4 linked regions of the Drosophila melanogaster genome follow. The protein of the gene in region 1 interacts with the protein of each later gene in a pairwise test. Each region holds a gene or a part of one and is shown in the gene's direction. Other genes may lie near its edges.

Evidence for each region.
Region 2: the proteins of slow (region 1) and CG6441 interact in a two-hybrid assay, tested with the Drosophila melanogaster proteins (one large-scale study listed by BioGRID).
Region 3: the proteins of slow (region 1) and dpr9 interact in a two-hybrid assay, tested with the Drosophila melanogaster proteins (one large-scale study listed by BioGRID).
Region 4: the proteins of slow (region 1) and Mlp84B interact in a two-hybrid assay, tested with the Drosophila melanogaster proteins (one large-scale study listed by BioGRID).

What each region holds. Positions count from the first base shown.
Region 1 is NT_037436.4:4,382,422-4,387,471, forward strand, and holds the start of slow (slowdown), read left to right. Parts: upstream 1-2,020; 5' UTR 2,021-2,206; exon of another isoform or gene 2,207-2,466; intron 2,467-5,050.
Region 2 is NT_033779.5:7,472,857-7,477,452, forward strand, and holds CG6441 (uncharacterized protein), read left to right. Parts: upstream 1-1,847; 5' UTR 1,848-2,050; coding exon 2,051-3,015; intron 3,016-3,075; coding exon 3,076-3,588; coding exon of another isoform or gene 3,589-3,592; exon of another isoform or gene 3,593-3,637; intron 3,638-3,722; coding exon 3,723-3,855; intron 3,856-3,917; coding exon 3,918-3,983; 3' UTR 3,984-4,096; downstream 4,097-4,596. Other genes in the region: Ziz (zizimin), read right to left, coding at 255-343, 801-1,033, 1,092-1,380, 1,439-1,649, 4,123-4,269, 4,326-4,596.
Region 3 is NT_033777.3:15,074,194-15,078,990, reverse strand, and holds the start of dpr9 (defective proboscis extension response 9), read left to right. Parts: upstream 1-1,784; 5' UTR 1,785-1,955; intron 1,956-2,704; 5' UTR 2,705-2,861; intron 2,862-4,797. Other genes in the region: CG6974 (uncharacterized protein), read left to right, coding at 1-461.
Region 4 is NT_033777.3:7,112,324-7,119,382, reverse strand, and holds Mlp84B (muscle LIM protein at 84B), read left to right. Parts: upstream 1-1,650; 5' UTR 1,651-1,732; intron 1,733-2,666; exon of another isoform or gene 2,667-2,731; intron 2,732-3,544; 5' UTR 3,545-3,623; coding exon 3,624-5,111; 3' UTR 5,112-6,533; downstream 6,534-7,059. Other genes in the region: Alh (alhambra), read left to right, coding at 335-425. UniProt on the Drosophila melanogaster protein: Plays a role in cell differentiation late in myogenesis. Transcription factor Mef2 is essential for expression.

The sequences.
Region 1 (5,050 bases):
AATTAAAATTAGCACATGCGAGCAATAACATGTTAATTTCAAATAAAATGCTAAATACATAACAATCGTAACGAAGTTATGGTTCTTAACCTTAGTAAACCTTTTAAGCATGGCTTGTCTTTCATACTTCTCATTAAAAATATATTGCCTGTAACAAAATCGAATCCATTATGCTTTCCCACCTAAACCAGTTAAGAAGATACACTTTGGCCACATGTTGTCGGTCATCAAATGGCTGTCAAATTACCTAAACTCCAATGCAGAGCTGCTGCAACTGATGAAAAAGATCGTGATTATGACGAAGGCGATGGGCAACCCACACGAAATGCTAATGAATTGTTATCAGTTAATTGTCTGAGCGGGGTACCCGGCTTTGTTATCTCAGCTCTTATGCTTTTATGCTTTATTTGAATTCGATTTGGGAACGCGGCGTGGGTGTTCCCCAAACCCAAAGTCCCCACTCAAGTGGCAGCTAATAGCCCAATAAATTGTGATTGTCGGCGGCGAGGAAACCGAAGCAACACACACATAATATTAAGAGAAGACCGTAGTACCTTTGTGCAGCTAAGCGAACTGTCAATGGCTGGCACATTGTTCGATTTATGACCATTCTGTTGGCCAGGGAATGTGCAACCAGTTTATGGGATGGATTCGCACGGACGAATGCTGAATGCTGGATGTTCCACAGCGCAGGCGCAAATCCTTTTGACATGTCCAATGTGCTCAGCATTTAGACAGTGGGCAGCTATTCTGTTGCCAGTGGCTAATAGTATGTGGCAATGCACTTGGCGAAACTATTGTATCTAGCACAATCAAAAAAGTTATATACAAAAGTGATTATGCTTAAGGAAAGTACTGTACATATATAATATAACAGACTTACTTAGGACATGAATTAAAGTACATTTAAAACCTTTATCATGTTTAACCCATGAATTTTTGATTAAATCTAGACTTAGTGGCATTTTTCGAGTGTGGTTGACAGTAGCACTCTTATGATGACAACGACAGATCCAGCACCCGATATGGACAGAAGGGCTGGAAACGAGTTCTTCTTCGCTCTGGGACTCGGATTCTCGATGTGAAAGATCAGCGAGCCGTGGCCTAAACTGGCTGCCCGGCAGCGGTGGGTAAATATTTAACTTAACAACTTGCCACCGACCGAAGAAGATGCAACAAAAGCAGCCGTGGCCGCAAGAACAACAACGGCGGACCATAAAAAGCACAAACCGCAACTTCCAAATAGTTTGAACTGTGCAGAGAGTGCAGAGATGATCCTCCTATAAACAAAACAGCTGTAACGCACTCAAAAACCAGCCAACGACCAGCCGAGGGCATACCTGCCCACTGCGCCGCCCACCACCCACCACTGCGCCCCTCAGCCCCACCACAAAGAGTTCTTCCGCCTGGCGAATTCATCCGCTCCACAGTTGCATCGAACAAAGGAAGCCAACTTGTGCCCCCATCGGTCCAATTTCGTTTGAGCGAACCAGCCAATGTGCACCGAACATGGGCTTCGACTGGTCTGACAGTGCAGACCAGCTGGCTATTTCTAGCTGTAAAAAAATATATACAGATTATATACAGACTAATAAGAATACACCTGAGAAACATATTAAAATTCCACTGATATTTAGCAAGATAAATTGAGTAGTAAAATCTTACATATTTGTAGAAGTTTGTGTGGCTTCTTATTTTAGAGAAATTTACCCTTTTCAAAATTTTGCTAAAATATCAGGTAAAGATATTTTTAAAAACAAATATATATGTAGATTTCAGAAAACTCGACGTATTTTCTACGGCATCTACAGTTATCCCGATTCCAAAGAAGTAAACAAAAAGTAAAGTGTGCTACTGATATATGAATGAATCAATGTTTAAGAAAATAACTAAATATTTACCGATGTTCGGAGTGTTCAGAGTATACAATCTATATACTTTTGGCTCCACTTTCCGACTGCACTGGCAGCGCCGTCGATCGCCGATCGTTAACTGGACTTTCGGTTTCGGCTGTGCATTTTCAGTTCGTCTCGGGACTTCTAAGCGATCGGTTTGGATTTCGTTAGCTCCGCCGCGCCAGCTGGAAATTTGTATCTCAAAGATCGCAGCCAGTTCGCTCGGTTTTTGTGCCTGGCATACGGAAGCGGCTAACGCAGAATCCGGAAAATCACAAGAGCCGTATATATTTCACAAATATATATATATAGTATGTTTCGAAAAGGCCCATTCACGGCCATTAAAATATTTTATTGTACAAAAAAGGCACAGTGCCGCGTATCTGCTTAATGTCAGCGCGAAAACTCAATTCAATTTATTGTTTGTGATTGCAAATTTGGCATAATTGTGCTTTGATTTATTCGCGCGTGTTTCGGGTCATCTCTATAAAGAGGAATTTTAAATCTGGGCAAGATTATCTCTGTTTTTCTCTGAACACTGGCTGGGTCAGTTGGAATTTGTTCGCCGTGTGTAAGTCACATGCAAATAGCTTTAATTAATTGCAATTACTTATGATTTGAATGTGTGTCAAAGCGCGGTGCGACATTTCCTAGTGCATTAATCTTGCTCAAAATCGCATTGCCTATCCTGTCTAGGAGTTACATGTCACTTATGGACGTAATTTGCATTTTTGTGGAGCGGCTAACTAAGTTGGCTTACCATTTACATATGCGCTTTGGCTGCCAAACAATGCCATAAATGGTCTAAGAATTAATTATCGTGAGAACTTCAAGACAATGTCTTTATTAAATAATTGTCAATAATTCTGAGTAGTTTTCAATGTACAATTTGTGATAATTTTCTTGGTAATTTTCTACGGTAATTTGCACCTTGATAAAAAGTGTTTAAGACAGTGTAATTTGTTTCCGTGTTTTCTTCAATGCAAATTATTTATTTCGAAATGGCAATAAATTGCTCAATAAATTTTATTTCTTTCAACAATGATCTGATAAAGGATTAATTCATTGCTTCGTTTTTGCGTAAACAAAGATTGTTCTGCGGAAATCTTGTAATTTATTTTTACTCTTTTAGATAAGTTTAAAATATATATATTTTATATAACCATTTTTCTTCACTATCGAAATGAACATTTTATAGCCCAACATTATTGCTGACATGAATGCAACCAAAATAAATATGTAAATCTTGTGACGTTATCGCCATCAAAAATTAGTGTAAATAATGTGACAAAGCGGAAAACGACACAAATCAAAAATAGATGTATCAATACTTTCCATTGTTTAGACTAGTTTGGCTAACAATTATGCATACATATGGCTAAATGAGTTTCGTTTTTTTTTTGTTTGCCCCAACGTGCATTCTGCATTCTCACACATATCGTTTGGCAGGTGAGCAATCAGAAATCGAAGTTTGGGGCACGATCCGTGGAAAGCGATCGTGCCTTTCTGCGTATCATAGTGTCTATACAAATGTTATTATGGTTAACGCCACTGGAAAGTGGGGTGGAGTTTGTTGTTGGTTTTCTTGTTTTTCCTCGACTTTGCTAATTAGACAAAGTCATTTCCATAAATTACGCAGCTAACGGTAACTGGGTTTATGACTTTTGTCCGGCTTGGTCGCGGGTCAACATGAACCATAGCTATATGCATACATATATATGGATATATACTATTTGTTCATATGGGCAATGGGTCTGCGGGGCACGTGTGGGCGTGGCCTCCGCCCCCTTGCAGCTGCAAAGCAATTAGCAAAAGACTGGACATGCCAGCAAATTGAGCTCTGCTGTTGCAGTTTTTCCTTTGGCCTTTTTTGGGTCGCTGCAATTGTTATTGAAATGAGTTTTCGCGTTAAAAACAGTTGAACTTGCTGGAAAAAGGTACATGTATCTCACAGTTATCGATCACAAATGAGTAATTGGCCATTAGAAACGGAATATGGTCACAGGATATCAAATAAAATGAAATTATTATTGAAGGCTATACTCAGCAGTATCTGTAATTATAAATCCATTAAATCTAAAATTGTGCAATATTTTTCTCAGTGTGCTAAAGGGGGTTGGTGAGGCATGCGACTTTTGAGATGTCAAACTGTCGATGTTGAACACGTTGCATAGTTTTCGCTTTTCATCTCCGACTTTGTTAGGGAAGAAACGCAGCCACAAAGGCCAACAACATTCCTTAAATTGGATTGAAAGTAACAAAGTGAAGTGTAAACAAAAATTGCGATCGATACCCCCCCCCCCCCCCCGCCGTTTTGTTGATCTTGTTAAAAAATAAAAACATTCGCAATGAAATAGTGGGGAGGCAACGTCGAAAGTAAACGAGATACAAACTCCGCGGAAATGTGTCATGATCTTGCAATATTAAAGACAGCGACACAATATCAACAAATGAAACACAAAACAGCACACACTATTAAACCACATGCGAGTATTTTGTTGGCCGTGATTTTTCTACCCATCACGGCTGTCATGGCTGTCTTGGTTGTCTCGTGGGAAAAATCAAGATGAGCCCGGCAGCCAGAACAATAAACAAAGCCAAGGAATGAATGAAATGTGTAACCCCGACGCAAATATTTGGCAATATGTCAGATAAGATATATTCGATAATTTCCCATCGCACTGGGTTATTGAACTCAGAGAGCAGCGTGAAAATTATATCGACAGTGGGTGGCTTTTCTTTCGCCTTTTCCCACCCCATTTTCTCACACAATTCTCCGGGTGCGATCGATCGTACGGTGCAGTGCAGTTTTCCCGAGATCTAAGGCATTTTGCGGCCCATCTCGGCTGTCTAGATAATGTTAATAAAAGCAGCGTTGAAAAGCGTTTGCAACAGCAACAAATTGGAAAATTTGAATTTTCCTCGAGCGGCCATTAAAGAAAAGCTGCAGAGTTACCAAACAATTGCTGGGCTGTTTGGGGATTCTCCTCGGCAGGCGGCGTTAAGCTTTTAGTTTATCTCTTTATAAGAACTTGAGGAGCGGCCCCGATTACACAAAACATAAATAAAAACGCAAGCTAAACTGGCAGCTGTTTGGAATTGCACAAAAAAAAAGAAAATGTTAAAAAAAAAAATCGAAGAAAGAGCCGGACTGA
Region 2 (4,596 bases), on another chromosome or scaffold:
ATAATAATATACAAGTTTTAAGCCTAAATTTAAAACTATTTTCAGGCTCCTCTCGATTTCTTGCATGCTATGAAAAAATGTACACATATTTTTTGTAATTATAATTGTCCAACATAAAAATCTAACAACAATAAAGTGGGAATCTAAATCATAGTCGCTTAAGCATAGTCAAATTAACAAGTAATATGTAATATCGGTTAACTGGAACTTATGGAACTGGTCGTTTAGCACAGAATATATTGTTCGGTTATCGGTTATGAATGGTGTGTGGAGTTCTGTGTGTTTATGTGGGAACTGTGGTGGTGGGTGCTGTTGCTGGTATTTTGATCAACAAAATACGGTCCTAAAACGGGAGAATTACAAACTCGTTAATACAAACTCGTTAATAAATGTCACAGAACATTTAGTTAGATTAGCCGAATTTTGTCAGAAAGCGCTTACGGTTAGTTTCGGTTCGGATTAAAAGCCACCAAATTTGGATTGTTTATGTTTTTTGTGGTGTTAGTCACATGGGGATTTCCTCAGCCGAGGCGCAAACCATTAAGCCCAAAATCGAGCTTTACCTGCCGCAAGACAATTTCAAATTCAACGACAACTTCAAACAAAGGAACACCAAGAGAGCCTATGTTATGACTACGTTGTGGTTACGATAACGCATTACAATCTCTACGCCTACGTATCGGGCTCGTGTTATTTGAATACTTCAACAATCGGTTTGGTTTCTGGTTAGCCGTGCGTGTGGGTGACTGAGTTTCAGAATTTTGATATCTTATTATGATTTCGTTGGACTTAAGCAGTACTTGAGTTATGGGAGGCGCCACTGATCGCATTGAACAAAGCCATGCTATTGCGCTGGTTTATGCTGTCGGCATCGTCGCCGAGCGGCTGGAAGGACTCGTCGTCCAGCAACTCACTGAGCGCCTGGCACAGCTTCTCGTAGTTCTCCTTGAGCACATGATGGTACTCCTTCTGGTCAGCGCTGATGATCCGCTCGTTGAGGAACAGGGCCTTCTGACACACCACAATGAAGTCGCTGCAAGAAAGAGACCACAATTAATAAACGTAAAGCACTAGTCACTAGAAATGCATACCGAAAAACATCCTTGAGATCTCCGACGCGATCCATTGAGAAGTTGTTAACCACCTTTGCATCGAGAAAGGCATGAGCGTAGGCCAAAGGACCAGCATTTACAGTCACCGCCACACTTCCCTGCAGACGCAGCTGCAACTTCTTCACATCGGCCGGTGGGAGTATGATCTCCTCCAGCTCTGAAACCTTGGATTGCATTTCATCGATGGCCACCTCAATGGGGCTCAGTTCTATGATTTCACGGGATTTGACGGGTATACGTTTAAGAACATATGGGAAGGAGTATTGAGCTGCAATAATTGATGCTTTAATATGGTACAAATGAAATTAAAGACGGTTTTTACATACTTTTTATAACCGTCTTGCGTTTCCATTGTTCTTCTACGCTGCCACGGGCTGCACCCGATTTGGTGAACGGAGTCTCGTACATAAAAGTATCCACATCATGATTCTGCTCGAATTCATTTAGCCTTTGGTCTAGCTCGTCCTTGGAGAAGAAAGGAATCACATGGGTGACCTGTATGTAGGCAAGTTTGGCATCTAGTTCGTCTACTTTAACCTGAAAAAATGAGTTGTAAAATTTTATAATACTTAATTGTTTGTCTTAAAAAATCGTCTATAAATAATAATAAATAATAATATAATGCAATAATAATGCAATCAATGGTGGACATACACTAGTAACTTCGAGATCAAGTCGTCCCTCCAGCAAATATCAGAATGAAGTTTGTTTCAGAATACTTCCCACCTTCAACAGATTTGGTTCAAATAGCTCAGCAACTTTACTAGGTACTAGTAAATTGTTTGTTATTTTTATACAACTACCACAATCCGCACACTAGAACCGCAAAAATATCCAAAATTTTGTAGAGATCGAGTTCCTTCTTTTGGCACAAACCATAAGTTCATCAGATTGTCGGACATACGGTAACTATTTCACAATACATTGTCCGTTCCCTTATGGAGCAGCTCTTTGAGTTCCCGGCTCGTGCGATGGGTCTGGGATTGGTCCAGATGCCGCAGATGCAGATACCAATCCCATGTAGGAGGGAGTACTCGCTAAATCCGAACGCAGTGGAATTCGTGCCATCTTTTCGCCAGAAATCCGAGCCTCCAAGTCCATCGACCAAAACGGAGGCGACCTCAACTACAACATTGCTGCGTCCCGAGGTCGTTGGTGATGCCGTGAATCGTGTTGAAAATGGGATTTTTCTCGAGCGCCAGATCTTTGACACCCTAAGTCAACTGGGAGACGAGCAAATGCCTCTGGAAGAGATCGCGGTTGGTGTATTACCAGGAGGACAAGGTCTTAGTATGACTTTCACCACCAAAGAGCACGATCAGATGCAGCCTTTGGACCGAAATACTCTAGTAAACCACAGTAAACAGTGCCTCCAGCTGGCTGTGGGCGATCAGGCGAAGTTGGCGAACAGACCTGAGACCGTTCTAATTGCCCAATTCCTCATCCGGGTCAACGATCTTTTGAACGAGAAGTATGAATACGGTGGCGATGGATCCGTGTGTCCCAGATGCACCCTGTGCTCAAATCGCAGCTATACGGAGCTGGAAATCGAAAACCAAATCGAGTGCATAAAGGCTTTTGAGAAATTTTTCACCTTTACGGAATCAACTCGCTACCAAGACATAGTTTCTCACAAAGCCTTTAAGGAGCTGTGCCACAGGCTGGGTTTGATCGTAAGCCGAGATCAGATCCAGGTTAACCGCCCCTCCACAGTGGTCCCTCCACCCACGGCACAGTCATCTAGTATAACCCTTTGCATGTCCAAGAACGAAATGGAATCTAATGTAGAGGCCAAGGCTTATAGAGGAGATGACGAATCCAGTTTCAACGGTTGTGAACTGACCGCGAATGGAGGTCAACATCCATCTATTTCTAATGAATATTTGAGGGGAAAGCTTTACAGGTGGGTGGGTCTTAAGTTAAGTGAAGGGAATACAACAATTATTGTGATTTATATTTTTAGATACGAAGACTCTCAGGGATGCCAGTTGGTCAACGAACTGAGTGAAAATCAACAAAAAATTGAAGCTATGGAGGTAGATGAGTTCGAGTTGGATTTACCATCTACCACGAAGCCCAAGACCGTGGTAACTACTAGTGTGCCGACAACCTTTCCTCGGGTGTACAAAACAGCCAAAGCCAAATGCTCGGCTCGTGGGGCAGGATCTAGTGGTCAACAGAGTGGCTACAATAACAGGGCAGTCCGTTCAATGATGCAGCCGTCAAAGGGCTCACCCACGACTTCACATTTTCGGACTATTGCAGTTGGTTGCCACCACCAAGCTGGATCGGCTGCCCCTCGAAAGCTGCAAATGGATTCGTGCCCAACCGGGGCTGCCCGCAAGCAAAATAGGTTGACTGAAGCAAAATCAAAAATTTACCAGCCATCTGGCAGTTCGCAACGACTTTCAACAGGTCGCGATACAAAACTAGGAAAATCTGGTACAAACGTACAAAAACCCAAGTTAAATCATATGTGAGTTAAAATTTGTGATCATTAAATGCTTACAGATCTACTTCAAACTACCTTGAAAGAAGAACTTTTAATAGTCTATTATTATGTGCCTGTAAACTGTCTATTTTATATTTTCTATTCCTTTATATCTTTAGTTGCAAGTCAGGAAAAATGTCTACGGCCAGCAGGATTGCCATGTCTAATCCAAAGCAAACCAATGGCAACCCACAGCGAATGATGCCAAGAAGCACAAACGCCTCAATGATGCGACAGTCCGAGGTCAAGCGGGTAAACCCTCTCGCAACTCCAATTTCACAAATAATATAATATATATATATACTCCATTGTAGCGCATGAGTTTGATGCGCGCCGACAGTGATTCGGATCTGCTATACAACGAATATCTCTTCAAGTGATTTGCAATAAGTTATATGGATTTGTTGCTTCCCTTTCAAAAATTAGTTTTTCCAATCCAAAAATACCTAGGTTATGTTAAAATTAAAATTGAAACCAAGACTGGGAAAAATTTAAAGAAAGTGTAATTTTTATACTTACCGGTGATGAGTCCATGATCATCTTAACTACATCGGCTCCAAACTTTTCTTTGTATTGTTTGGCAAGTCGCTCAGAGATTTCGCTGAGTGATGTTAGCTTGGGCTCCTTGTACACAAACTCGATGGCATGATCTTCTTCAAAGTACATCTAAAAATAGCATTAAATTTAATATTAATTTTAAGGGTATTCTGTAGATTACTCACTAATCCATAAAATACAACACGGTAAAAGCGACCCAACATTCTCTTTCCTGACCGATTCACTTCAACTATTTTATTATAGGCTTGCGTGAGATGCTCATAGCAGTGTGCCAGGTCCTGGTAACTACGATCTCTTTCGTACATGGGCAGGATGAGTTTGTAGAGCTCTCCAAGGCACTCAAATCTTTCAGCGCGATCCAAGAAGTCAGCACATAGCTTAAGCTGCTCCAGTAGCATTTGTTCGGTGTACTGGGAATCCTGAGCACCGGCATCC
Region 3 (4,797 bases), on another chromosome or scaffold:
CTCCGCCCGCAGGCAAACGATATGTGTCCTTCAAGAAGTCGCCCAATATGTGTGGCACTCGAGTGGGCTATCAACCTCTGTCCTTTGGTCCGCACGAAGTTGTCCTTAACGAGAAATGCCTCACTATGCCGGCTGTAATTCAACACGAAACCCTTCACCTGCTGGGCCTTTTCCACGAGCAGAGTCGTCCCGATCGCGATGAGTACGTGCAAATCGACTACGACAATATCCCGAGGAAATACTGGTCGCAGTTCATGGCCATGGATCAGACAACCACCTTCAATGTTCCATACGATTACGAGAGCGTTATGCACTATTCGAAGAACGCCTTCGCCAAGGATCCCTCAAAGCCAACAATTCGTGCCCTAATCGGTGGTAAGGCTGTGGAGAGGGAAATGGGTCAGGTGCGAGGACCTTCCGAAGGGGATTGGACCAAAATTCGTTTGATGTACAAGTGCTAGAGTGGAGGAAGAATTCTGCGAGGACTAGGATTGGTTAATAAATATGTTGCGTTCTAAAGTGGATGTGTTTAAATGGAATGGTTTAATATGCAAACTTTCAGACCGATTGCATGGTTTTTCAATCTTTTATGGCTTTTCATTTAAGTCTATCACTAAGTCATTTAAGCCCCACCCACCCGAAAAGTGCTACCCGTTTAATGCTACCCAATCATTCAGTGTCCGTTAACTGGAAAAACGTTTTTCCAGCCTCTTGAAAATGGGTAGCCCCGCTCGAACATAAAGGAAATCCAAATCCAAGCCCAAGGCGAATGCATTTGATTTCACAGAAGTGCAAGTGTAAGTGTCAGTTAACTTTGAAGCAGACTAAGGAGCAGTTGGGGAAGAAAGCGGGGCTTCTCAATGCTGAATGGGGTCTGCCGTGGATTGGGCATGAGTCCAAACGACTGGGCAGCAAACAATCCGAATCCCTGGCACTTAATGTGCACTAAGTGCTTAAGAAGGCCGAGTGTCTGGAGCTGCCTATTAGAAGTCTCTCACTCCCCTGGCCAGTAACCACCCACTTTGGATCAGGATACCATTTCATGGATAGCAATTGCGGAATTTAAATAACCTTTTTAAATCCCTGACAGCTTTGCAAAAATCGAATTGTACGAGTTAAAGAATCAACCAAGCAAGAAGAAATTTTCATCTGCTTAAATTTAAAGAATATATCTTTGCTATAAAGAATCCAATTATTTTGACATGAATTATCTTATATGCCCAGATAGAAATAATATTTACTGAAATGTGACGAATATTATTTAATAGCTTTGACCTTTAAAGAAAACTGTCAGAAAACAAACCAATAAAAGCTAATAAATGTGCCGCATGGTAGTAAGAGAGTATTCCTGTATCTCCACTAATAATTTAGCAACAACATACAACGAATGTGTAAATGTTTGCTTAAAGGAGAATATAAATAACAAACAAAAGAATAAACGCTGTAGTTTACCCTTTTGAGTGGTACAAAATAGCACTATTGGCAAGTGTTGAGTTCTGCAAAGCGGGGCAAAGAGTTGTGGCTTCGTAAGGATGCCAACAGATGGCCATTAAATGCTTGCCTTAAGAGAGCCGGATATCAAAGAGACTCCACATGTTTCGGGAAGTTCGAAAGTGCCATCGGTGAGAGTGAAGACCGACTGGAAGTGAGCTGGCAGGATGAATACATTTTGGCCCACTGTTCTAGGCGGAAAAGCTCGCTCTCTCGCCGAAAAAGGGGAAGAGGAAAATGGGAGCTTTGGCTGGTCGCCTGGCTTTTCAAGCCGACGCCGTTCGTGTGGCTTTCAGTGTATTCAGTGCAGTCGTATCGTTCGGTTCGTTCTCACGGTGAAAAGCGGTGGAAGGTCCTGTTCGGAGGACAACCTCAATACGCCACTCACACACGCACAAGTGGGCTTACTCACACGGACACGGGTGCGCTAGTCGAAAGTAAAAGTTGTCCAGTGTGCCATAAAGGTAAATAATAAATGAGCCAATGTGAAATATACGCACGCAATGTGAAAGCAACGAAATATATGAAGAAATCTACGGAAAAATGAAAATCTAGACCTGCGTGCCAGTGTGCAAAATCAAGTATGCAACACTTAAGTGAAACGAATATCCCAAAATAAAGTGTGCAAGAGTGCCAGCGATCCTTGAATATTCGAGTACCAAACTAAAATACTAAGCCAGACTAAAACTAAAAACCGAACCTGCCCCAACTGATCCTTCACCTCAATTCTTACCTATCAAGGCCACACGGCGGCTGTGGCATATTAACGTTGCACTCGTTGCACGTTGCACATACAGCCAACTCACACAAAAAATGTTATTCATCTTCGCGTGCTGTTTTGTTTTTTAAGACCGCCAAGGTCGTCCAGGAATACGTATATCTCTTAACGCGGTCCGAGAATTTTAGAAATAATTATAAGAAATACTTTGGGGTTTCCTTTTAAAATTTCTCGGAAAATGTTGCGATTTTCCCTCGTCTGAACTTTTGCTTTTTAACTTTTTTCTTTCGCCTTCCCTTTGGGGCTCATAAATTAGGGTCGCATTCCGCTTAACCGGGAATATTTGCATAAAATGGGAAAAAGGGCGAGAAATGGTTTAAATACGGGAATCACACGGCTGAGATATTCAACACATGAAAAAAAGGGGGCATATAAAATGAGTTCACAGGCCTTGATGGGTTGAGATAAAGCAAACATTAAAGTCCCTTTATTTAGATGATAAAAAATTGAAAAACAAAAGTGAAAATTAGCACTGCGAAAATTCCAAGGTTCATAAAGATTCGGTACCGAAACTTTTGAGTTTTATCAAAAACCCAAACATCGAAAAATTTGCAACAAAACAGGATCAAAGGACAACAGCAGCGCAGCAAAGGTGAGCCCTTTTAATTTTATTGAGCCAATTATCCAATAATTTCATTAACTAGTTAACACCAATAATCATGTATTTCCTTACAAAAAAAAAAAAAAAACAAAAACACATATCAACCAATGTGTCATTGTTTGAGTTTGGGTGGTGCGTTGGTTTTCCCAGTGGCGGAAAAGCCAAGCCAACGGGTGGTACGGTTACATTTTTATTTATTGTGATATTTTTTTTCGCTGTTTCTCTTTGCTGTGGTTAGAAGTTGTTCAGGAAAAAATGTTGCCGGTGGGAGGAGCTTGGATTGTTAGCTCAATTTAATTATGAAAATGCCAAGAATTTCTCTGGGCACACACGTGCCTAAACATACAGGTGGGTGGTATTCCAATCAACTTATTTTATTAAATGTTGTGGGGGAAGGACACCAAATTTATGCTCCTAAAAGCTTATATTAAGACTCACTGATGGAAAGGTGTTATAAATAATAATGACTATTTTTAATTAATATACAAACGGAATATTATAAGTGTTATAAGTATTTGAGAGCTACTTGTTGGTTAATTAAAATTTTATCAGGCAACTGAACATAAACCTGATTCAGTTACTACGAACTGAAATTTTGTTCTTCGGAAACATACTAATAAGCCTATTTAAACTCTTTTAAGTTCTTGAAATTAATTAGCTAATGATCCATTATTTATAATGAAACATTATTGCTAAGAACCATAAATTCGCGATGGGTAAGGCTTACATTTAAATAGGTCACGTGAAATGCCTTCGTTTTCAGTTTTACTAAGAGTCGTAGCTTTCCACTCATGTGGCACATATTTCTGTGGCATCCACCACAAATTTCCATTACTGAGATTGCCTTAGAAAATATGCTTAGATGCTACACCTTTGACCACTTTCCCAACACCATTACCTGTGAGCTCAGGGAAAAGGTAACTAAGACTTTCCGCCCGACAAGATTGCCATTTTATGCTAGACATTTTCTAAGAAAATAAAACAACATTTTATTTACACGCTGCTTCAGCAAGGTCACTTATTATGGAACTTTGCGCGTCAGAAAGTTGCCCAAATACATAAATTATTTTTATTGTACTTAACCTTTTTTTTTTTTGCCTTGACTTTCCCTATTCATTGTCTGGCCCAAATCAGCTTAAGTCACACAGAAAAGAAATTCATAAGCTTGCTTTAAGATGCGAGTAACCGAAAGATACAAATAAGTGAAGTAGGCCGAACAGAAAATAGGCTTTAAAAGCTGTTTGGTTACTCTATAAAATATTTCGGTTGAGCTTATAGAATTTCAGAACGACATTAATAACCCTTCTTTCGTTAGAAAAAAAAGGGTTATAATATTGAGCCAAATTATAAGCAAAAAATTGTATTTTATGTGCATGGTTTCCTACAATTCATCGAATTGGATTGATACAAAAAGTAACTGTAGCTGATTAAACTTGCTTATGACTCTATGACCTGAATATATTTTCCCATTTAATCAGCTTACAATTGTTGCAATATTTTTTTAAATGGCACAATAAAGTTGAAAATGCAATGGAAGTGCAACACAAAACGCGTCCATTATATTTGTTTTGGCATTGACATATTTACTTGATTTAAATTTTTATGAATACCCTTTTGTTTACTTGTGAAACTCTTTGAGCGTACAATTTTGAATGAATGAAATATTATGCAAATGTTTGATAAATAGCAGGAAATCAAAAGCAAACAAAAGGAGAAAATTGTTAAGCAAAAATATAATTGATGGCAATCGCACACAATTGCAGCCGAGCGAAGACATAATTAAAAGAAATATATATGTATATGTATATATGCGTACGTATGGGTGTATTAATCAAACATAATTACTCTGGTCATGCATATTTGATTAATCGGTTAAAAGGAAGGTCCTGTGGTCGTGTTCCACTTTTGTTTGACCTGACAGCTGTCG
Region 4 (7,059 bases), on another chromosome or scaffold:
GATTTTAAAGAAACAAATGGGACTGTGTTGCACATCTATGATTTGCAAAATTGTTAATTTATCGAACACCCGGTGTAGACAACTCTTTTATTTTGTTATTCTAAATAAATTGTAATAATTAGAACATAATGTATATTAAACAGTGCCCAATGTTACTGAGAAACCAGACTTTTTAAATATGTTTTTGTAATTTCATTGAAAAAGGCAACTTTTGGAATCCGTTTCGTTTATTAGAGAATATACTAATACTAAAATAACCCCGTATAAGACCTTTTTCTACTGAAACAATGTATAGAAAAAATCACACTAATATATTTTTCGGTTGTTTCTGTAGCTTAATATCCCGCTATGATATCAAAGATGTTCAAGTTGCACTGACGCCTCTAACAGATTTTGAGAAGGAAATCGAGAAGAGCTCCAAGAGGGTAAGTTGATTTTTTCTTTGTTTATCTTTTAGCATACTATTAATAGAATGATAAACAACTCAGTTATCGTTCCGAAATATTGAGTTAATATAAGCTTTTTTACTTTTAAGGAAACTTGTTTCGGATCTCTTGAGTGATTTTTGCGAAACATTCTCTTAAAGTGTTTTCTCTCTTTTTGGATACAATGTTGCTATATTAATGATGGTTCCCATTATCTTTTACACTTGTATACAACTTGTCATTTAGTTTTTCTCTGATCAAACCTAAAGAGTGGGACAGAGAGTACTACTATATTCGTTTCACTCGCCAAAAGTTTTGAACGCAGGCGCCTTGCCAATTTTTGTATCATACTTATAAGTGGAAATGCAATTGCAAATGCATGTTAAAAATGTTTTGAGAAATTCTGCCGAAGGTGCGCGTTAATTATACAAAAGGTGTTGCCCACCCGTTCTTGTCTTTAAGAAATTCCGTGTTTTTCAATGCTACCCCTTGAACTTCGGAATTTTCGATCGATCCATTTTTTAAAATGGTGTGTGTTTCGATCGAAATACTGTAATAAATCAAATATTAAATTAGTTTGTTATAAATTTGAGAAACTTACTACTACTACTTTGATTTCAAAACTAAAATAATCGGTAAAATCATACCATTAGAACTAATATCAAAATGAAATCATTCTTAGTAATGATATTAAGAGGTATTTTCTGGCCGAGTTGGCCCCCGCCATGTCTGGTTCTATTTTGCCGATCTGATTGATGCTCAATGATGTACCCATGCCCCATTAATTTCCTTTTGAACCAAAAATGCATGGCAAAATATCGAATTTTAATTAAATGCAAATGCGCATGTTAATTTATTGATGTTGAAGTGCCAATGTTCCGAAAGGCAGGCAGGCAGTGGCTTTGAACAAGACAGTTGAACCATGTTGTTGGTCCAATAAAATACCAACATCATCTTTTTCGCCTTGTCATGAGCACGATCACCTGGAATATTCTGCTATAAAATGACCGTATATACAATTTATGAAAGCACATTTTTCTTGTATACTAGCATATTGTATATGTGAGAGCAGATATTTTGTGATTTGTTGGGATTCTTGTTCGGATGGCTAATGTATTTATTGTTGGGGCTATATAGTCATCCCTATCATTTTCTCTGGCGACAAAGTTGCCTTCGTGCCGTGTGCAGACAAAGACTGAAAGCGCTTGACAAATTTTTCAGCGCGATCAGTCGAAAATCGTTGTTAATCGAAGCTAAACTAAAATTAAGGATATTTCTCTTGCGAACCTTTTTATTACGAACGAAAAGTAAATATCAGTTTTTGTCAATGGAAAACGAAAACCAAAACCAAAACCAATCACGCATAACCCAGTAAATTCCAATATTTTGTGTTGTGCTTGTCTAAAAAATATCGGTTCAAGCTCTGCTACAAACCAAACGCGAAGCGATGAAAATACAGTTTTGTCAAGCGATCGTTTAAATTTAGAACTTGTGCGTAATTTGGACCATAATTTGACCCACAAATGAGAGGAGGAATGTATGGCTCCACACAGGAAGCATTTTTCCCACACACTATTATTAATAGATTCCGTTTTTTCGAGTGTGAAAAAACTTTACGGAAACTGTCTCACTCAATAAAATGAGAACTATTTGCGAGGAGTTTTTTTTTCAATCGAGTTTTATTCAAGTACAAATCGATCATCTTTTCATCAGATCAAATCGAATAGTCACTATCCTTGAATAGAGAAAAATTAAAGATACAGTCCTTACTCGACGTAAAAAACACGTACATTTTGATGAGTTTTATAATCTTATTGCATGCAAAAAGTATTATATTTAGTCGGGAATATAAACAAACTCCCAGATGCCTGAGGTTTCCAATGATATGCAACTTTTCGATCATCTTTGATAATCTCCCACTGGGATAAATGTGCATATAATATACACAAAAGTTAGCAAACATCCAAGAATGAGATACGGTCAAGAAAAAACGAGTGAAGGATATGGAATAAAAAACTTTTTCGAAGAATCGAAAAAGTTTAAAAACCGCAGATGCATACCAATATGTTTCCATCCCACTCTCTGGCGTTATTTGATGAAAACTGAAATAAAACGAAGGAAAACTGCTCCGTGTTGCCGCATCTTAAGTTTCTCAACTCGGTGTGCTGAGCAGGAAAACTCAGTGGCAGCGGCGAAAAGTCGACCGCGTTGCCGTGCCGTGTGCACTCACAATTATATAGACTAGTTTGCTTTGAGCAATCTTCCAGTTCAGTACTCGGCGCTTCCGTGTGTGGTTTTAGTGCGTTGTAGGTTCCGTTCTATCTTGGCTATAATACACTCACACCCAACGGTTGGATATCGCCAGCTCTTAACCGATTTTTTTGCACGCAGCAAAAGACCATTGCAAAGCACCTGACTAATCCATCGCAACCGCTAGATAACCAGATTACCGGCCAGGGACGATGCTCATCTGATGGTGGTGCTTTAGCTCTGACTCAGTTTTAGAACACCCAGATATGTACATATATATATCTGCCACAGTTATTTTTTGTGTGTGCTTTTCCCAAATCTATCTACCTGTCTGCGTTATTTTTATACAACATTTTCTGTATAGATAGATACACATTTATTGCTCATGTTTTTCTCTGTGTTCTGTGATTTGAAAAATTCCTCCTTTATTTTTTGTTGTCATGAGAAAGATGTTATTTTCTGATCATTAACATAGGAATCTTCAATATGAATTACGTATACATACGTCCGGTTGGGTAATTTTCTGGCACGGGCGATGACGTCTCGACTGACAGATAAGAATCTTGATAGATGATCTACATAATGCAAATTGAGGAGAAATTCGCGACTGTCAAGTTGAATTTGTAATAGTTCATTGTAAACTTAAGATAAAACAAGCGTCTTAATCGTCCAAATAGGTTAACATGTAGATTAGCTTGAATTAACTAGTTGGGCTTAGAATAATTTGGAAACCATTTAACATACAAAAATGACAGATGCTTACCTCATCGCTTTCATCGCCACCAAAGCTTCCACTCTGCTGCATTTCCCAGCAGGACTTACGCCACGATCCCATCGACTCTATGTGTTCTTCTATTTTGCTATTTCAGATAATAAACTTAATAAGTAAAGTAATTGTACTCGCGTAGATCATTTTGATAGCGTTAAAAAAACCGAAACACAGACAGAATGCCTTCCTTCCAACCGATCGAGGCCCCCAAGTGTCCGCGCTGCGGCAAGAGTGTCTACGCTGCCGAAGAGCGTCTGGCTGGCGGCTATGTATTCCACAAGAACTGCTTCAAGTGCGGAATGTGCAACAAATCCCTGGACTCCACCAACTGCACAGAGCACGAGCGCGAGCTCTACTGCAAGACGTGCCACGGTCGCAAGTTCGGGCCGAAAGGTTACGGCTTCGGCACTGGAGCTGGCACCCTCTCCATGGACAACGGGTCACAGTTCCTGCGCGAGAACGGCGATGTGCCGTCCGTAAGGAATGGAGCCCGCCTGGAACCCAGGGCTATTGCTCGTGCCCCCGAAGGTGAGGGCTGTCCTCGTTGCGGTGGCTATGTGTACGCCGCCGAACAGATGTTAGCCCGCGGTCGCAGCTGGCACAAGGAGTGCTTCAAGTGCGGTACCTGCAAGAAGGGTCTGGACTCGATCCTGTGCTGCGAGGCTCCGGACAAGAACATCTACTGCAAGGGCTGCTATGCCAAGAAGTTTGGACCCAAGGGCTATGGTTATGGCCAGGGCGGTGGTGCTCTCCAGTCCGACTGCTATGCTCACGACGACGGAGCACCGCAAATCCGTGCCGCCATTGATGTGGACAAGATCCAGGCCCGTCCGGGTGAGGGTTGCCCACGTTGCGGCGGTGTGGTCTACGCAGCGGAGCAGAAGCTTTCCAAGGGTCGGGAGTGGCACAAGAAGTGCTTCAACTGCAAGGATTGCCACAAGACTCTGGACTCGATCAATGCCAGTGATGGTCCCGATCGTGATGTGTACTGCCGCACCTGCTACGGCAAGAAGTGGGGACCACATGGCTATGGATTCGCATGCGGCTCTGGTTTCCTGCAGACCGATGGCTTGACCGAGGATCAGATCAGCGCCAACAGGCCCTTCTATAACCCGGACACCACGTCAATTAAGGCCCGTGACGGCGAAGGCTGTCCCCGGTGCGGAGGAGCCGTATTCGCCGCCGAGCAACAGCTGTCCAAGGGCAAGGTGTGGCACAAGAAGTGCTACAACTGCGCCGACTGCCACCGGCCATTGGACTCGGTCCTGGCCTGCGATGGACCCGATGGCGACATCCACTGCCGCGCCTGCTACGGCAAGCTCTTCGGCCCCAAGGGCTTTGGTTACGGCCACGCCCCCACTCTAGTGTCAACCAGTGGCGAGAGCACCATCCAGTTCCCAGATGGCCGTCCTCTGGCCGGACCCAAGACTTCGGGCGGCTGCCCGCGTTGCGGTTTCGCCGTGTTCGCCGCCGAGCAGATGATCAGCAAGACCAGGATCTGGCACAAGAGGTGCTTCTACTGCTCGGATTGCCGCAAATCGCTGGACTCGACCAACCTGAACGATGGACCCGACGGCGATATCTACTGCCGAGCCTGCTACGGCCGCAATTTTGGACCCAAGGGAGTGGGCTACGGTCTGGGCGCGGGCGCTTTGACAACGTTCTAAACGAGCCTATTTTATGTATATCCAATCGAAACCCACATCCATGTCTGTGAACCGTTCCGATGCATCTGTCTAATGACCAATCTGTTTTAACTAACTATCCCTGAAATTAGCTAACTTAGTCTTCGTTTTGCTTCCAACGATTTTTGATCAACGATGCACTGAATGCAATTCAATTTTCTTTAGGTTATGTGAGATTAAGTTTAATATGAAAACAAGAAAAAAAGAATAAATGCCAAAAACATAAAACTTACGACTCAAAGCGAAACTAACCATCGAACACAGACTAACGAACTAAACGACATTGACCACATCGAGAAAAGCAAAACTTTCTGCAGGTGAAACTGCTGCGAGCCAAAGTCGTTATTACTTTTTTGTATCTTAAACTATTTATTTTCGAAGACCAGCCAAGTATGTCTTATGCTCCAAATCGAATTACCCAAAAGCATACTTTGTGCAAATGGAAAAATTTTATACACATAAATATACTCTTACGACGAACAATGATGAAAGATATGATGTTGTATATTTAGCTGATTTAGTTCTTACGATATACTTATGAAATCTGATTATTTATAATGATGTTTGAATGATTTCTCACCCATCTAATCTCTTGCATTCTGTTTGGGATGCCAGCCATGGCAGATATAAAATATTTATTTATATATATATACATCAGCGTACATGTTCTGCATACACACACACACACACATAACATCCAATAATATATGCCCCAGTGGGTTCCATGAAAACAAAATGATTTCGAAATGGTTTTCGTAGTTTTAATTGATTTAATTGGGTGTGCATACCTGAGATTTCTGCATCTAAATGGTTGGTTGGCAATCTGATTGGAATGACCGGTGGGTGGTTGGGTTGAGTTCAATTCCGTTTGTTTCGGGATCGTTCGGTTCGGATTGAGCCAGCTCATCTGGTCTATATATAGCTTGTTCGGCCGACAAACATCGTGAAAAATAATTGCTCAACATACGCACAAAGAACGTTCCCTACATATACGTACAGGAATAAATCCTTGGTTGTGTGTGTGTGTGGCCTCTCGAGAAAAACATCGAAATGTTCCATAACCGTACTGAAATGGTTTTCTAAATATAAATATGATGCCAATATGCCTCACACAGCTGACCCGAAAGCTTTTCACAGCACTCAAAACTCTCACTCAAGAGAAGAACTTAAGAGATTGTATTTATTCGCATATATACTTGTGAGGAATCCCTAGTTATATTATAATAATTATAACACGTGCCTGCTGAGAATGTTGTGTAATAAATGCTTTACTCACCCACCCACCTAGAGCAAAGTTCTTATTGCTAATGCACTTTTAGGATCACCCCCCACCCGAAATAACCCCTTGGGAACAAAATTTTAATGATTCCGTCCCACGCCCACTTGCGCGCATTATTCACATTTCTATTCATTTTATTCGACATCCTATAGGTATGGTATGGTTTTATGCTCCGTGACGTTGACCACGAAAATACGTTGCCAAGGGGTTGGCCAAACTAAATAAATTATTTTTTGTTTTAATATAATTTTTTTTTGTTTCAGACACAAATATCAAATAAATCGCCTTCAGCCAGGTGTGTTTACGTTAGTTTTGGTATCGCATTGGCGAGAATATTTATAGACTTACCGAGTCAGCGTCTATTTTCGAGTGATTTTGGTTTTGAAATTGTTTCGCATATGACACACGGCACTTCAAAAACACCCGAATTGACGAGCCACAACAGTGAGAATATTTTTTGCGGACTGCGCCGCTGATGTTGATCTCTAAATATACTTGGAGATGTATTCTACTCGTATTCGATATGGCTTTTCTAGTATGTTATTAATGTTCAATTTCTGGCTTTGAATGGCGCGAATAGATTTATGCCTTGCTGAAGTCCGCGACTATTTGTATAACGGATCGAACATGATAATGGCTAAGATAGAGAAC